Lepisosteus oculatus: one gene and its partner. The protein of the gene in region 1 binds, or shares a complex with, the protein of each later gene. Links are inferred from orthologs where the notes say so. Each region holds a gene or a part of one and is shown on either strand. Other genes may lie near its edges.

The links. Proteins that work in one complex are often made in the same cells at the same time.
Region 2: rpl11 (region 1) and rrs1 share a complex: the UniProt entries of both Homo sapiens proteins name them as parts of the hexameric 5S RNP precursor complex. The link is inferred for Lepisosteus oculatus from reciprocal best matches to the Homo sapiens genes RPL11 and RRS1.

The regions. Positions count from the first base shown.
Region 1 is NC_090706.1:290,039-297,870, reverse strand, and holds rpl11 (large ribosomal subunit protein uL5), read right to left. Parts: upstream 2,994-7,832; 5' UTR 2,928-2,993; coding exon 2,922-2,927; intron 2,244-2,921; coding exon 2,093-2,243; intron 2,009-2,092; coding exon 1,902-2,008; intron 1,788-1,901; coding exon 1,656-1,787; intron 1,564-1,655; coding exon 1,453-1,563; intron 602-1,452; coding exon 572-601; 3' UTR 512-571; downstream 1-511. Other genes in the region: cyclic GMP-AMP synthase, read right to left, coding at 5,052-5,559, 6,250-6,349, 7,661-7,832.
Region 2 is NC_090701.1:51,349,794-51,356,822, forward strand, and holds rrs1 (ribosome biogenesis regulatory protein homolog), read left to right. Parts: upstream 1-3,953; 5' UTR 3,954-3,974; coding exon 3,975-5,075; 3' UTR 5,076-6,448; downstream 6,449-7,029. UniProt on the Homo sapiens protein: Involved in ribosomal large subunit assembly. May regulate the localization of the 5S RNP/5S ribonucleoprotein particle to the nucleolus.

The sequences.
Region 1 (7,832 bases):
CCTGGTCAGGCAGCGAGAACCGCAGTGCACACCCCTGCCACACAGGCACACTTCCTGCCCAACAGTGCCCCTTGCTGGTTGAGGGCAGGAATACCCCTCATGGCCTGGGGTGAACTCCAGCAGGCGATTTCATAATGTGGGGGGGCTCTCTTGGGTTCAAGGGTCCCTCACACCGAGCCTGGACAACCTGCTGCAGGTTGGTACCCAGCGCAGGCGCGAGGAAGCTGGCCCGAGCTCTGGGTCCTGGAACTGCAGCGGCGGGTCTCCTGCTGCAGCAGGACTCGGGGGCCGAGCAGTACTGTTGTGTCCAGCTGGGATGGACAGCCCTGTGCAACAACACTGCAAGACGAGACACAGGGGATCCATTTCTGCTCAATCCTCACAACCTGACTAATTAAGCACCACTGCGTTTGGCTGGAACAAACTCTACCCTACCCCCTCCCCAACACCTAGCCTGGCCCACAGCACCATTTCAATTCAACACTCATGGTTGCAGGCAAGACAGTCAAACTTCAGCTTTTTACAACTTTATTTTGCAAATCTTTACAAATGAAATCAAGAAAGCAGTCCTTTATTTGCCAGGGAGGATGATGCCATCGTACTGCAAAACAAAAACACAAAGGGAGCAGCAGTTAGAGGATTGTGCATCAAGAGTGGCAGTAGCAGACAACAGGAGGCCTGGCGCACCTGAAGCAGATCAGACTCCTTTGCGAGAGCTCAGCCACTAGAGTCAGACCTGTGAACCCCAGCGCCAAAACCTCAGGAATCCTCTTACTCAGGCATGTCTGAATCAGCACAGTCACACAACTGTTAGCGTCTCCTCCATTTCGTGCCAGGTCTTTTGTCTTGGCTGCATTAATGTACAAGTAGTCATTTTAAATCACCTTTGTACATTTCACTACAAAATCTAAACTCTTAAAATCCAGTACTGCCAGTCGATAACCTGGGTGTATTCTCTAAACCAGCTCAGTGGCTGAGTCTCCCCGGCCCCGAGCCCTGGATCCACACGCTGGGCTCGTCACCGACCCTCGAGCCGAGAGGCAGGAGCTCTCCACTAGGCCAGGACCACCTCCCTGCTTACTGGGACCCACAGCGCCAAGCCGCTCCCAGGCCTCAGACTCGCTACACTGACGCCCAGGCCAAGCCTGGCAGACCCACAGCTGCTTGTGGACAGGGCAGCGGTCAGCCACTGACCCACGAATCCGGCCCTACCCTCACAGCCGGACTCCCGGTCACATGACTCCAGACTCGAACCCGAGATCCCGGAGCTCAGCCTGTGCCTGAGCAGGATGTACCAGCGGAGTCGTGCTGGAGGTCCCACAGTGACAACTCTCATCTCCCCAGCCTTCCGGGGCCGGAAAACCTTCCCCACCTCCCAGAACCTCCATGAGCTGTACCGGACCCACACACCGTCCCCAGCAGGACCGAGCCCAGCGGGTCGCCGGCTCCTACCTTCTGCTGGAACCAACGCATGGCCTCCTCCTTGCTGATCCGGTGCTTGGCGCCGATCCGGCCCCTCTTCTGCTTCTTGTCTGCGATGCTGAAGCCGGGCCGGCCCAGGACCTGCGCGACAGAGGGAGAGCGTGACTGGGGGGAGGCCCACGGCGAGGCGAGGCCCGCGCTGCAGTGCGGACAGGCGGACAGTGGATCCTCACCACGTAGAAGTCCAGCCCGTAGATGCCGATGCTGGGGTCGTACTTGATCCCGAGGTCGATGTGCTCCTGGATCCCGAAGCCGAAGTTCCCCGTGTCGGAGAAGTTGTTCTTCCGCAGCTCGTACTCCCGCACCTGGAAGAGACGGGCAGACAGGCAGTGAGCCTCCGCGGGCCCGGGTTCGAGAGCACACGAGTCACACCCTCACCCCCCCGCCCTGCAGCCGGCAGGCCGAACGGGACTCCTCACCTTGAGCCCCTTCTCCAGGATCTCCTCGGCCTTGGCGCCGCGCACGGTGCAGTGGACGGCGATCTTCTCGTTCCTGCGGATGCCGAAGGACCGCACGGTGTAGCGGGCTGGACGGGCGAGAGAGAGAGGGGGTCAGAGCGCGTCCGGGCGGCCCCCGCACCGCCGCCCCCCGGGCCGGCCGACTGACTCACCCTTGGAGAAGACGGGCGTCTGTCCGGTCAGCTGCTCCAGCACCTTGGCCGCGCGGGTCAGCCGATCGCCGCTCTCGCCCACGCAGATGTTGAGGCACAGCTTGCGGATGCGCAGCTCCCTCATGGGGTTCTCCTTCTTCTCAGCCTGGTCCTGCGGGGACAGCGGGCCACGGGTCACTTCCACACAGAGGAGCCGACCCCCCCGAGCCGCAGACACCACCACCTCGGGGAGCAGAACCCACTCGAAACACGCAACGCGTGGGGCAGCCTGACACCGGGATGACCCGTGTTCTCGGGGGAGCGCCAATACAGGCACTCCGCCGGACCGAGCCCGTGAGCCCACGGGCCCCGGGATGCAGTCCGGCTTCTCCGAGCAGCTCTTCTCAGAACCGACCCACACCCAGAGCTCGGGCCCGGCCCGCTCCACACCGGACCCGGACTCCGCCGGGACGTGCCCCACAGACCGCCGCCCGGAGCCCGGCTGGAAAGGCACAGCCGTCTCATTAGAACACCGGTGAAGCCGGAATCCTCCGGCTCTCCCGGCACCAGGACCTCAGCCGGGCCGGTCGAAACCACAAGCACTGGCCGGCGGTGCGGGAGACCCAGGCCGGAGACGGGGACAGGGGTCTGTGCCACTCCAGGTGTGTTTATATGTGTTTCGCTTCAAGCTACAAAAACCAAACATAGTGGCCCCCGCAGTTCAGTCGCCTGCAAGAAAGCCCCGGGCTCTACCAGCCTGCTGACGCTTAATTTAACGACCGATGGAAACGGATTGACATTTTGACAAAAGTAGAGACACCGCCATCTTCAGCTGACAAACACTACTCACCGCCATGTTGGAGCACTAGAAGAGAGCGACAGACTTCCGGCGCTGCCTTTTATAATCGAGTGCCCGGCTGGATTGGCTCCGTGGAATGTGTTGGTGATGTAACCCAGGTTCCGGTCTTAATAGAGACTAGAGACTAATGCTCATATCAAATTGGCGCAAGAAAAGTTATATAGCAGTGGCGTTATTTCTAAACTCGTGTCTCAGTATTTACGATGTCTTCTTTTGTAGAACGTATAATGGAATAATGAGGCTGTTTTCTGAAAATTTCTGTAATAGCAGACTTCTGTGTGTTTTGTTGAATAAATAATTTTCCTAATTTACACTGTGGATACATGAAGAAGACTGATATCTAACATGGGGTCGTGGTGATTTGTAAGACATTTATAATTTCCTGAAAAGGTAAAAACATATAAATGTTCACCCTTGTGTGAAATTAAACAGATACATACATTGACTGTATATAGTTCAGGTGTGAGCTGTGTGACCTGAGACCTGAAGAAGGCTCCACGGCAGAAACGTTGTGTTTTCTTTCTTCTCTTTTCAGCAGGAAATAAACCTTTACTTGTTCCCTTACATTGACTTATGATAGTTCAGGTGGGGAGCTGTGTCAGCACCTGTGGGCTTTAAAGGAAGTGAAGGTTTATTCCTGCTGAAAAGGGAAGAAAAGAAATGTTTCGGCTGTGGAGCCTTCATGGGAAAAATGGCCAGGACACTGGGGTAACACCCCTGCACTTATCGAGAAACACCCTGGGGTTATTAATGACCACAGAAAGTCACAAACTCAGTTTTACTTCTCATCCGAAGGACGGTGCCTATTTTTACAGTCTAGTGTCCCCATCACAATACTGGGGCATTAGGACCTACACAGACCGCAGGGTGAGTGCCCCCTGCTGGTCCTACTAACACCTCTTCCAGCAGCAGTCTTAGTTTTTCCCAGGAGGTCTCCCATCCAGGCTCCAGACTGACCAGGCTCACACCCGCTGAGCTCCAGTGGGGTTCCAGCTGTCAGCTGCTGGCTGATCAATTTAAATTCATTTTAATTGATAGATTCAAATATGCACATTGGTTCCCAGGAACAAAGATTTTCTTTATTCAAACATTTCAATTATTTTTTCCTATTTTTAAAATCACTGTCTAAAAATATAATATACATATGCAGTTAATTGAGTACATCAGATACATAATTTTGCTACATTGTGTTAATGAATGTGTTTGTTAGCAGTTCACAGTCTGATTTTCCCATTATGTCCAATCAGCAGGCAGGTCAGTTCTTCTCTCTCAGTGTCCTGCAGAAGGTGCAGAGAGACAGAGGGACAGAAGCACTGAGACACAGGAGGACAGAGAAGAAATATTCCTTGTTGATCACAACAGCTCCCAATCCTACTGGGAGAGGGAGGAGGAACCTCAGTTGAACTGGCAGCCCAGTATGTGACCTCCTGTCACAGCCTGAGGAACAGTCAGCCTGCCTCCCAGTAATGCTTCATATAAATATAAATATCCTATGATGTGTCTATATTGTAAATGTCTGTCATTTTTTATGTTAATTGTATCTGTGTTGCTTTGGCAACACTGATTTTACTCATTGGTCATGCCAATAAAGCACCTTGAATGGAATTGACCTGAAGGAAGGACACACAGATGTGGATCCTGCTGCTCTGCAGTCCCTGCAGGTCGTCCGTGTCTTCTGGTGTCTTGTTCACCCTGACCTCTCATAAGAACACAAGAAAGATGACGAATGGAAGACTTTTGTCCCATCTGGCCTGTGTGGCAGTGATTGGCTAATTGCACTGAGAATCTCATCTTCACAGAGGCAAGGACACCAGCTTCAGAAATATGACTGTACAGCTTGCCCAACACTCCTACAATTCCTTGTGTAAGGAGGTCCCTCCAGCTCTCAGTTTAAAATGTAATTCCCTGAAGTTTCCACTCGTGTCCTCTGGTGTGTTTCATTGTTGCCGCTGAAAATGTTCACTGTTTTGAGTTCGTTGGTGTGTTTGAGAATTTTTAATACTTCAGTGCTTAGTTGGCTTAACGGCTGTATTCACTACACAAAAGGAAACCCACAGGCCCCAGCTGAAAGTTGTGGTCCCTGCCCTGCACAGTCGACACCAAGTCCCTCTCTACTGCCCCCTAGTGAAGCACTAGAGCTGCTGCAACCAGCAGGGTGGTCAGGAGAGCCAGGGCCCCCAAGCCCCAGGGGAGGGAGGGGAAGTGCAGGCCGGAGCTGCACACCGGGGGGCACGATGGAGCAGAGCTGGGCCCGGGGGGGTCCGCGGGCAGGAGCCGTGACGGGCTGGACACCTGGAACAGTGGCACCCCGCTCTGCCTCTGCTCCTCCAGCGCCCCCTGCAGGAAGAGCAGGGAGCGGCGGGGGAAGGCGGCCGGGGCGAACATGTTGCTGGCGCTGATGAAGAAGTGGGGCAGTTCGGCGCACTGGACGTGGGCGATGAAGCTGTCCAGCAGCAGCAGGAAGCAGGAGGGGAGCCGCCGCGGTGCCCAGATGGCGTCATCACCATGGCGACTCAGCGTGTGCAGGAAGACTGTCTTCCCGTGGTAGGAGCAGAGCTGAGCGAGCTCCCGAGGGTGGCGCTGCTTCAGACCCTCGATGAGACACTTCAACAGGCGCAGAGCCTTCTTACTGAGAGACACAGAGAGAGACACCGTGACCTCTGGACTGACCCCTACAGACACACAGAGAGACACCGTGACCTCCGGACTGACCCCTACAGACACACAGAGTGACACCGTGACCTCTGGACTGACCCCTACAGACACAGAGAGACACCGTGACCTCCGGACTGACCCCTACAGACACACAGAGAGACACCGTGACCTCTGGACTGACCCCTACAGACACACAGAGAGACACCGTGACCTCTGGACTGACCCCTACAGACACAAAGAGAAACCGTGACCTCTGGACTGACCCCTACAGACGCACAGAGAGACCGAGACCTCCAGAGTGACCCCTACAGACACACAGAGAGACACCGTGACCTGTGGACTGACCCCTACAGACACGCAGAGACACTGTGACCTCTGGACTGATAGAGGGTTGAGTGGGGTCTGAGAGGTTAGAGTGGGGTTTGGGGGTGTAAGTGGAGTCTGAGAAGTGTGAGTGGGGATTGGGGGTGCGAGTGGGGTTTGGGGGTGCATGTGGAGTTTGAGAGGTGTGTGTGGGGTTTGGGGTGCATGTGGGGTTTGGGGGTGTGAGTGGGTTTGGGGGTGCATGTGGGGTTTGGGGGTGCGAGTGGGGTTTGGGGTGCATGTGTGGTTTGGGGGTGTGAGTGTGGTTTGGGGGTGCAGTACGGTGCAGTGCTGGTCTCACCGGCAGCAGTTCTTGGCGTAGCTCTCACAGCAGGTCTTGCTGCTGCCGTGATTCTTGAAAATTTCCTTCTCGACGTGAGAGAACGAGATTCTCCAGCACTCTGGAAAACAAAGGGCTCCACTCAGATTCACCAAGAGACAGGGGTGTCCACACTGACAGAGCTGGGGTGCAGGGGGGTACAGGGGTGTCCAAACTGAGAGAGCTGGGGTGCAGGGAGATACAGGGGTGTCCACACTGAGTGACTTGGGGCACAGGGGGTAGAGGGGTGTCCACACTGAGAGAGCTGGGGCGCAGGGGGGTACAGGGGTGTCCACACTGAGAGAGCTGGGGCGCAGGGGGTACAGGGGTGTCCACACTGAGAGAGCTGGGGCGCAGGGGGTACAGGGGTGTCCACACTGAGAGAGCTGGGGCGCAGGGGGTACAGGGGTGTCCACACTGAGAGAGCTGGGGCGCAGGGAGATACAGGGGTGTCCACACTGAGAGAGCTGGGGCCCAGGGAGGTACAGGGGTGTCCACACTGAGAGAGCTGGGGCGCAGGGGGTACAGGGGTGTCCACACTGAGAGAGCTGGGGCGCAGGGGGTACAGGGGTGTCCACACTGAGAGAGCTGGGGCGCAGGGAGATACAGGGGTGTCCACACTGAGAGAGCTGGGGCCCAGGGAGGTACAGGGGTGTCCACACTGAGAGAGCTGGGGCGCAGGGGGTACAGGGGTGTCCACACTGAGAGAGCTGGGGTGCAGGGGGGTGCAGGGGTGTCCACACTGAGAGACTTGGGGCGCAGGGGGTACAGGGGTGTCCACACTGAGAGAGCTGGGGCGTAGGGCGTACAGGGGTGTCCACACTGAGAGAGCTGGGGTGCAGGGAGATACAGGGGTGTACACACTGAGAGAGCTGGAGCACAGGGGGGTGCAGGGGTGTCCACACTGAGAGAGCTGGGGCCCAGGGAGGTACAGGGGTGTCCACACTGAGAGACTTGGGGCGCAGGGGGTACAGGGGTGTCCACACTGAGAGACTTGGGGCACAGGGGGTACAGGGGTGTCCACACTGAGAGACTTGGGGCGCAGGGGGTACAGGGGTGTCCACACTGAGAGAGCTGGGGCGCAGGGGGTACAGGGGTGTCCACACTGAGAGAGCTGGGGCGCAGGGGGGTACAGGGGTGTCCACACTGAGAGAGCTGGGGTGCAGGGAGATACAGGGGTGTCCACACTGAGAGAGCTGGGGCGCAGGGGAAACAGGGGTGTCCACACTGAGAGAGCTGGGGCCCAGGGAGGTACAGGGGTGTCCACACTGAGAGACTTGGGGCGCAGGGGGTACAGGGGTGTCCACACTGAGAGACTTGGGGCGCAGGGGGTACAGGGGTGTCCACACTGAGAGAGCTGGGGCGCAGGGGGTACAGGGGTGTCCACACTCACCCTTGGCCTCCTCGCCCCGCTGGCGGCCTGGCGGCTGCTTGGGCACGAAGTACAAGGCCTGGCTGATGAAGTGGCGCCGTGCCTTCTTGCCCAGCCAGTCCTGGACGCACAGGCCTCCGCGCGCCGCCCCCGGCCAGCCCTGCGCCGCGGGCACCTCCAGCGTGGGCACGAT
Region 2 (7,029 bases), on another chromosome or scaffold:
GGGTGTTGCTTTTACATTTAGCAACTCAAAGGAAAAAGATGATTTCTGTATAATACATTTGTAGGTAGTGCGCTCACTGACCATAGCATGACGCCTTTATATACACATGCTCAAATGTCTTAAAGAACACTAGTGAGCTTTGCTGGTACTGGTGGCATCGTCTCAGTCTGATTTGTTCTTGTGTTTTCATGCTGTTATGTTTTTTGTAACGCCATGATCCTAACCAGGACTGAAAGTGGATTGATGAATGTTTTCTGTAAACTAAAGAGCTTCTTTTCAATGCTAAAACTGATGGAGGGCAATCTTTGCAGACAATAGTACTCAATGGTCAGCCTGTAGAGGTTGTGGGGAGTCTATGGGAATGCATATTGATCAGAGGCATAGTTACACCGAGAATACAGACAACATTTTTTAAAAAGCAAATCAGAGATGTTTTTAATTCAAAGACTCAAGAACTTTAATGTTCTAATTTCATAATATCCTAGAGATGGCATATAAAAGCCTTGTTGAGAGCATCCTGGGATTTAACATGACAGTGTGGTATGGAAACCTAAACTGTCCCGGATTGTGAAAATGGCAGGAAAAATAACTGGGAAACAGCAGCCCCAGCTCTGCAACTCATATCATAGTACAGTTCTCAGAATGCCCAGGAACATCACAGCTGACTCCACACATCCACTCCATTCCCAATTCCTAATCTTCCCATCAGGAAGACGGTATAGGGTACCAAATTGAAATAAAAACATTTATAAGAAGTCCTTTGTCCCCTCTGCAATAAAACTACTTAAGGAAGGTATGTAAATGTAGTCTCCCCTCTAAATATTTATTTATCCATCTATTTATGTATCACATACTGTTGTTGTGATTTTATGTGACTCTTGTGTTTTGCTTGTGTGTTTTGTACTTCTGTGAAAGAAGCCAAAGACAAACTTCCACAGCAGTGGACAATAAAGTATCTATTTTTGTAATATATGACTGCCTGCTGGTCTGGCTTGTAGTTTATATGTTCACCTATGCATAACAATTTTTATCTAGCATATACTGTAAATTATGAAGAAAGAAAATACTTGGAAACCTGAATGATTTGGGAATGAAAGGCTAAAAGCGCACTCTCAGTAGAATTGCTGTCTATATAGATCGATGTTAGAATTATAGTTATTGGAGCCTGACTCCAATTTAGCCAAGGAAACCTATCATAGTATTTTCACCCCATAGTGATTTTGTCTGCTGCTTACCAAGACATCTCCACTGTCAGTGAAGGGGCTATACTTCAAAGCCTGTGTACTCATTCCCAAATGGAAATAATTACCCCTGCTGTAATTTTGGACTCATTGAGAAGTGTGGCTCAGCTAGAGCACACAATAAGAAGCTTTCTGAATCACTACTACTGATGCTATGATGGTGAGCCACATGAGACAAGTGGTTTATGATGACAGGACCAGTGCCACATGGAACAAAAAATCCTTGTTTCTTGGCACTCTTTGAAGAAAGAGATGGGCTCCAGCAGTAGAACATCACCCTTGAGTCTTTTGCTGGTAGCATCTTTCTCAATCTTGTTTTTTTTTTCTTCTAACAAATTGTAGAATTGAGAGTTGAAAATGTTTGACTCAGTTTAAAGCTTTCTGCATGTTGAGGAAACTCATACAGCAAAAGATATGGAGGAAAGTAAGTGGATCAGAGCATCCAATATAAAGGTATGACTGCACAAAGGAAAAGTCCCAAATAAAAGTATTACTTTTAAAGCAAGCTGGTTTGTTCCACTTTCCCCTGTGGTTTATGACCTCTTTATTCAGGATGCAGTACACAACATTGTTTGCTTTTTTCAAGTAGGGTTGTTTTGTTTCACAGTTTTTACAGCACTGCCAGTCTTTAGGTTATCAGTTTGTAACACAAAATAATCTCTAAAAGCTTCCCAAACAAATTGTTGTTAGAATTTAATAGCAATAATATTATTTATGCCTTTGTCTAACTTCTTTATTGCAATATTTCTTTTGTAGAACAAGTGTTTGCTTTCTTACACAGTAAAAAGAGAAATCCTGCACAAAAGTAAAAAAACCGTTCAAAACTGCAGTTTCGAATTTATCAGCTGAATGGAAAACGGTTGCATAGCTTGGGATGTGAAATGTCAAAAACAATATTAACTAAATATGTTGAAACTAAAATAATAAGATCACTTTATCTTTCACTCACCAAGTAATTGCAAAAATGCACACTTCATACACACTTACAGTACAGTATGTAAGTACAGTTTGTTGAATAAGGTAAATAATATATAGGACTGGATTAGAAATATGAGCAAGACATTACTGTCTCAGTATTATATTACAGTATGTTTCCTTTCCAAGTAAGTGGAACCACACCAGAGTTCCTCTACAACGATTTCCAGATCAGGATGTTTGTGCTCCTCTTAAGGACCTTAAAACAAAGGCACAGTGTGCTCTTTCCACAAAATGAATAAAAGCCAATTTAAAAAAAAAATGTTCAATACTGACTTTATACATTAGGCCCAGTTGGACAGTGTTTGAAAGAACTAGGATGAACGTTTTGGTTTTCATCGACCGCAAGATCTGTAATCACTTTGATGTGTGCCTATGAAACCTGCTGATTTTATAGTGGTTTGGTTTAAAAACCTGCCATATGAACGATGTAGCCTTGGGACAAATGTACAAAGGCTTTATGCAGAGTGCCCAGGGAGGCAGTGTTCTAAGAGAGTAATGTGCAATGTGGTGTGCAGACTTTCAGTTCATGTATGCCAACACTGTAAAGTGACCCCTCTTTTTGACACTGACATTACATTTAATCTCTGCATCCCCAAGTTAGGTTTACTCTAGTGGCAGGCCTGGAGAGAGAGACTGCAGCAGATACAGGGACTGGCAAGTATTTGGAGCTTACAAACTGTAAATGTTGTGTTTCAACTTGTTTTATCTGTGGCACACTGACAGGTTCCAGCTCCATTCACCAGGAGCGAGTCAATATGTGTTTCATTCATGACTCTTCAGTGTGAAATGCAGGAAGACTGGGATTAGCACTGTTTAAATCAGACAAACTAAACGATTTTTTTCCCTTGAAGAAAAACACATTTGTCTTGTTACTGACCGCCACTTTTCTTTCAGAAATTAGTTGCTTGAAACTATGAAGAGTTATTTACTCTAATTTCGTATTTACGATTTTGTTTATTCATTTTGAGTGAACTAGGCTGTTAAAAGATCATTCATAGGATATACTATATACTATATATCGTATAGTTTTGACTAACATTTATTTCTTGGAAAAAGATAAACCTAAGTATGTCTTAAAATAATATATATGTATGTATGGTTCGAAAATAAAGATTTTGAAGACGTTAATTAGAATTTTTAAAGGAAGCCATACTCCGTTAGAAAAGTTGTTTCTCTGTGTTTGTCAGTAGAACTTAAAAAAAAAACTCCGCGTTTAAAAAATGAATTTAAAGAGCCCGGGGTCAGGTGAGAAAATTATATTACGTAACTCCAGTATCAAAACATTACCTCGTGTGTGGCGTAGTCTATATAATACTCGACATAGTCAGCTCGGTCTAAAATTATATTGGTTTATTTAGCCAGGCTAAAGAATTATGTATCGGGTTATGCCCTAGCTACGGTATAGTTACAGGGGGTGGAAGGTAAATATTTATGAAGTCATGGACAATTTGACTAAGGGTGAGATACTATGAGAATATGAAGGCTCAGTCCTTTAATGATTATTAATGTATTACTGAGTATTATTAAAGAAATTCATTTTCACAACTGGTTTGCATAGAAGGATGAGAGGTATGTAAAATTAGTTTAACAACAACTATAATTTATTTTGGTTATACTTTTTCTTGTGAAATTTCGATATACAGTTCTACGCCTGAAATGCGCATTTCTCCACCACGGCTGAATATATATTGTTTTAATTTCGTATTTACGGTTAAATACCGCCACATAGCGGAACCTGCACGTAAAACCACATCCATGGAGACCCGGAAACAGTCGCTTGACCTTTCCCACGGGCTCCAGCGTGCTTCCTTTGAGAGCGAGACCGTCATGGCGTCCTGCAGTGTGGAAGACGTGCTCGCCAGAGCCGAGAAAGAAGAAGCCGAAAAACTCAAAAGCATCTCGGTCCACAAAGAACTCGAACTCGAGTTCGACCTGGGGAACTTGCTTGCATCTGATAAAAATCCTCCCCACGTCCGAGAGTTCAAGCAGCAGAAAAAAGAGGAGTTCCTGCGCTCTCTCGCCCGGGGCAACACGCAGCTGCTCATCAATGAGCTCTGGAAGTTGCCCACAGAGAGGGTCGAGGAGGTGATAGTGGCCAAGCTACCCGACCCTTCCACTCGGCTGCCGAGAGAGAAACCGGTGCCTAAACCCAGGGCGCCGACCAAATGGGAGGAATTCGCCAAGCTGAAGGGGATCCAGAAGAAGAAGAAAACCAACCTGGTGTGGGACGACGTACACAAGGAGTGGAAAAGGCGGTGGGGCTACAAGAGAGCTAATGACGACACCAAAGAGTGGCTGATCGAGGTTCCCGCGACCGCCGACCCCAACGAGGACCAGTTCGCCAAGCGCGTAAAGGCCAAGAAGGAGAGGGTGGCCAAAAACGAGCTGAACCGGCTGAAGAACATCGCCCGGGCGCAGAAGATCAAAGTGCCCGGCGCTGGGCTGACGCCCGCCAGCCAGCAGTCGAAAGCGGAGCTGCAGATGGCCATGCAGGTGGCCAAGACATCCACGGCCTCCGTGGGTAAGTTTCAAGACCGTCTACCCAAGGAGAAGCCGGCTAGAAACACGGGGAAGAAAAGGAAGTTTCAGCCCCTCATCGGCGACTTCTCCAGCGAGAAGCAGAAACAGCTGGACATGCTCAAGATCATGGACGGCAAGAAACCCAGGCTGGACATCACCAAAGCCGTCAACAAGCAGATGAGGGAAGAGGATGTGGAGTCGGGGTCCAAGAGGAGGAAAACGCCAGGGAAAAAGGGCCGCAAGGGTAACTTTTCTGGGAAAGGAAAGGGGAAAAAGGGACGCGCTGGAGGCGGAGGCAAGAACAGAAAGCCACGCATGAAGCAAGGGAAGCGATAGAGGCGCCACGGGCTTCTCGCGTTTTGCCTGGCGTGGAAGAGGAGCGTGTCTAGATGCAGTCGTCATTCGGTGTTCTGTACAGAACGAACTTTTTCTGCAAACCTTGGTGCCTTGTTCCCCCCCAAAGAAATAACCGTGAGGCCCCGTGGAACTGGTTTCACGTTTAATGGGACGCACATCAATGAACTGTGCACTGGGTTAAATATTTTTGTATCCGATGGTTAATAGGACACATGATATGGTAGTTCAGGTGCGTAGCTGCGTCAGCTGCAAAGGAACAAGTAATAGGTTTATTCCCTGCTGAGAAGTGACGAAAGGAAACAACGTTTCGGCTGGAAGACTCTTTAACTCTTACACCCGAAGAATGCTCCGCCCCGCCGAAACGTTGTTTCCTTTCTTCTCTTTTCAGCATGGAGTAACCCTATTGTTCCTCCACATGATACGATGCCTTGCTTTGCTTCTTTTGCAGTGTACGGTACTGTGCGTGACAATTCGCTGGATGAGTGAAATTTCTCTCGACTGAATATTAAGTCTCTCCGTAGAATCGTGTGTTGTTTTCGCTTTGAGCTCTGAAAGCCCTTCGTCCAAATTGTTTTTTGTTCATTTGCCTCATGTAGAATGCCCATCTGTTAACAAATGATAAATGGGTGTAAATGTAGAAGACCTTATCATGAGCCTAAATGTAGTTCAGATTCTATTGTACAGCAGCATGTTTTAATTGATATTCGAGTTGCATTCTCTTTTACATCAGGTATTTATGAAACAGAAGAGTTGATATAATTGCAGCCTTAGTCTTGACCTAGATTCAGTCAAAATAAGCTAGTGATATCTGGTACCTGATACAGCTGTAACTGCTGTGCAGTGGAAATCTGTCTTGCCTGTCATTTTGTCGGTTTTATGATTGGCCTTGGTCTAACTTTAGGTTAGGTTAACTTTAGATCTAACTTGCTGACCTGACTGGGTGAAATTCACTTGATTACAGGCCCTAGATGGGCTCTATACTATCATGACACATACAATGGGGGACTGTTTTTTCAGCTTCTGACAGGGAATAACAAATATTCAAAGTTCTGTACTACTTGTATTCTGAATACATTCTGCGTGTGATAGTATTTTTACAGTTAATGGACTCTTTTATGTCTTCAAAGATGGTTTTTGTAATGTCTTTCTAGTTTGTTTGAAGGGCTTAAAGGGTGGTAATATGAAGGCCCAGCATTCGTATATGTGCCTAAAGTTAAGAAAATTAAGTGTCGGACTTGGGAATCTGAATATTTAAGGTGTGCATAAGCCTAATTTTGCTGCTGTCTGAAGAGTAAATATTACAGAATGTATTTGAAGTTGGTGGCTTATGAATAAACGTTCACCAAACAGTTGCTGTGGAAATGTTCATTTTCTTTGTATAATCTTAATTACTTACTACTGTATGTTTGAGTGGTGCTGTTTTAATAATCACTAGTGTTCATTGTTACAGTGGTAACCTTATGTCATTTAAGATCTGAAATCTATGCAAATTGTATGAGAGAATCGGATTCCCCTCTTGAAAACAAACATTTAAGCTAAAGTGAAGTTTGAAGATAAGAGATTAAAACTCTGTTAATATACATTTTAATGCTGTTTTGGTGTACTTCTAGAACTTGGCCTTGTAATCTTATCAACATGTTATTAATCTTATTAGCCCTAACCTTGTGGTGGAGACTAAAATTGGTCTACAGATAAGTAAATGTGTAAGAGGAATGCCACAGTTACTATGACAACGGCTAAGTTTGGGTTTCCCTAGGTTAAGGGTTCCTAATGCTGGTTCTGGGGAGTTCAAAACCAGCAGCTTTTATAAGTAATCATTAAACCATCACTTTCTACACGACCTGGCTTGACAAGTGATCAATTAAAAACGATGTGTTGATTAATTTAGAAAGAACTTGTGGCAAACATCAGAATCCCCTGAAATTCTCAAGGG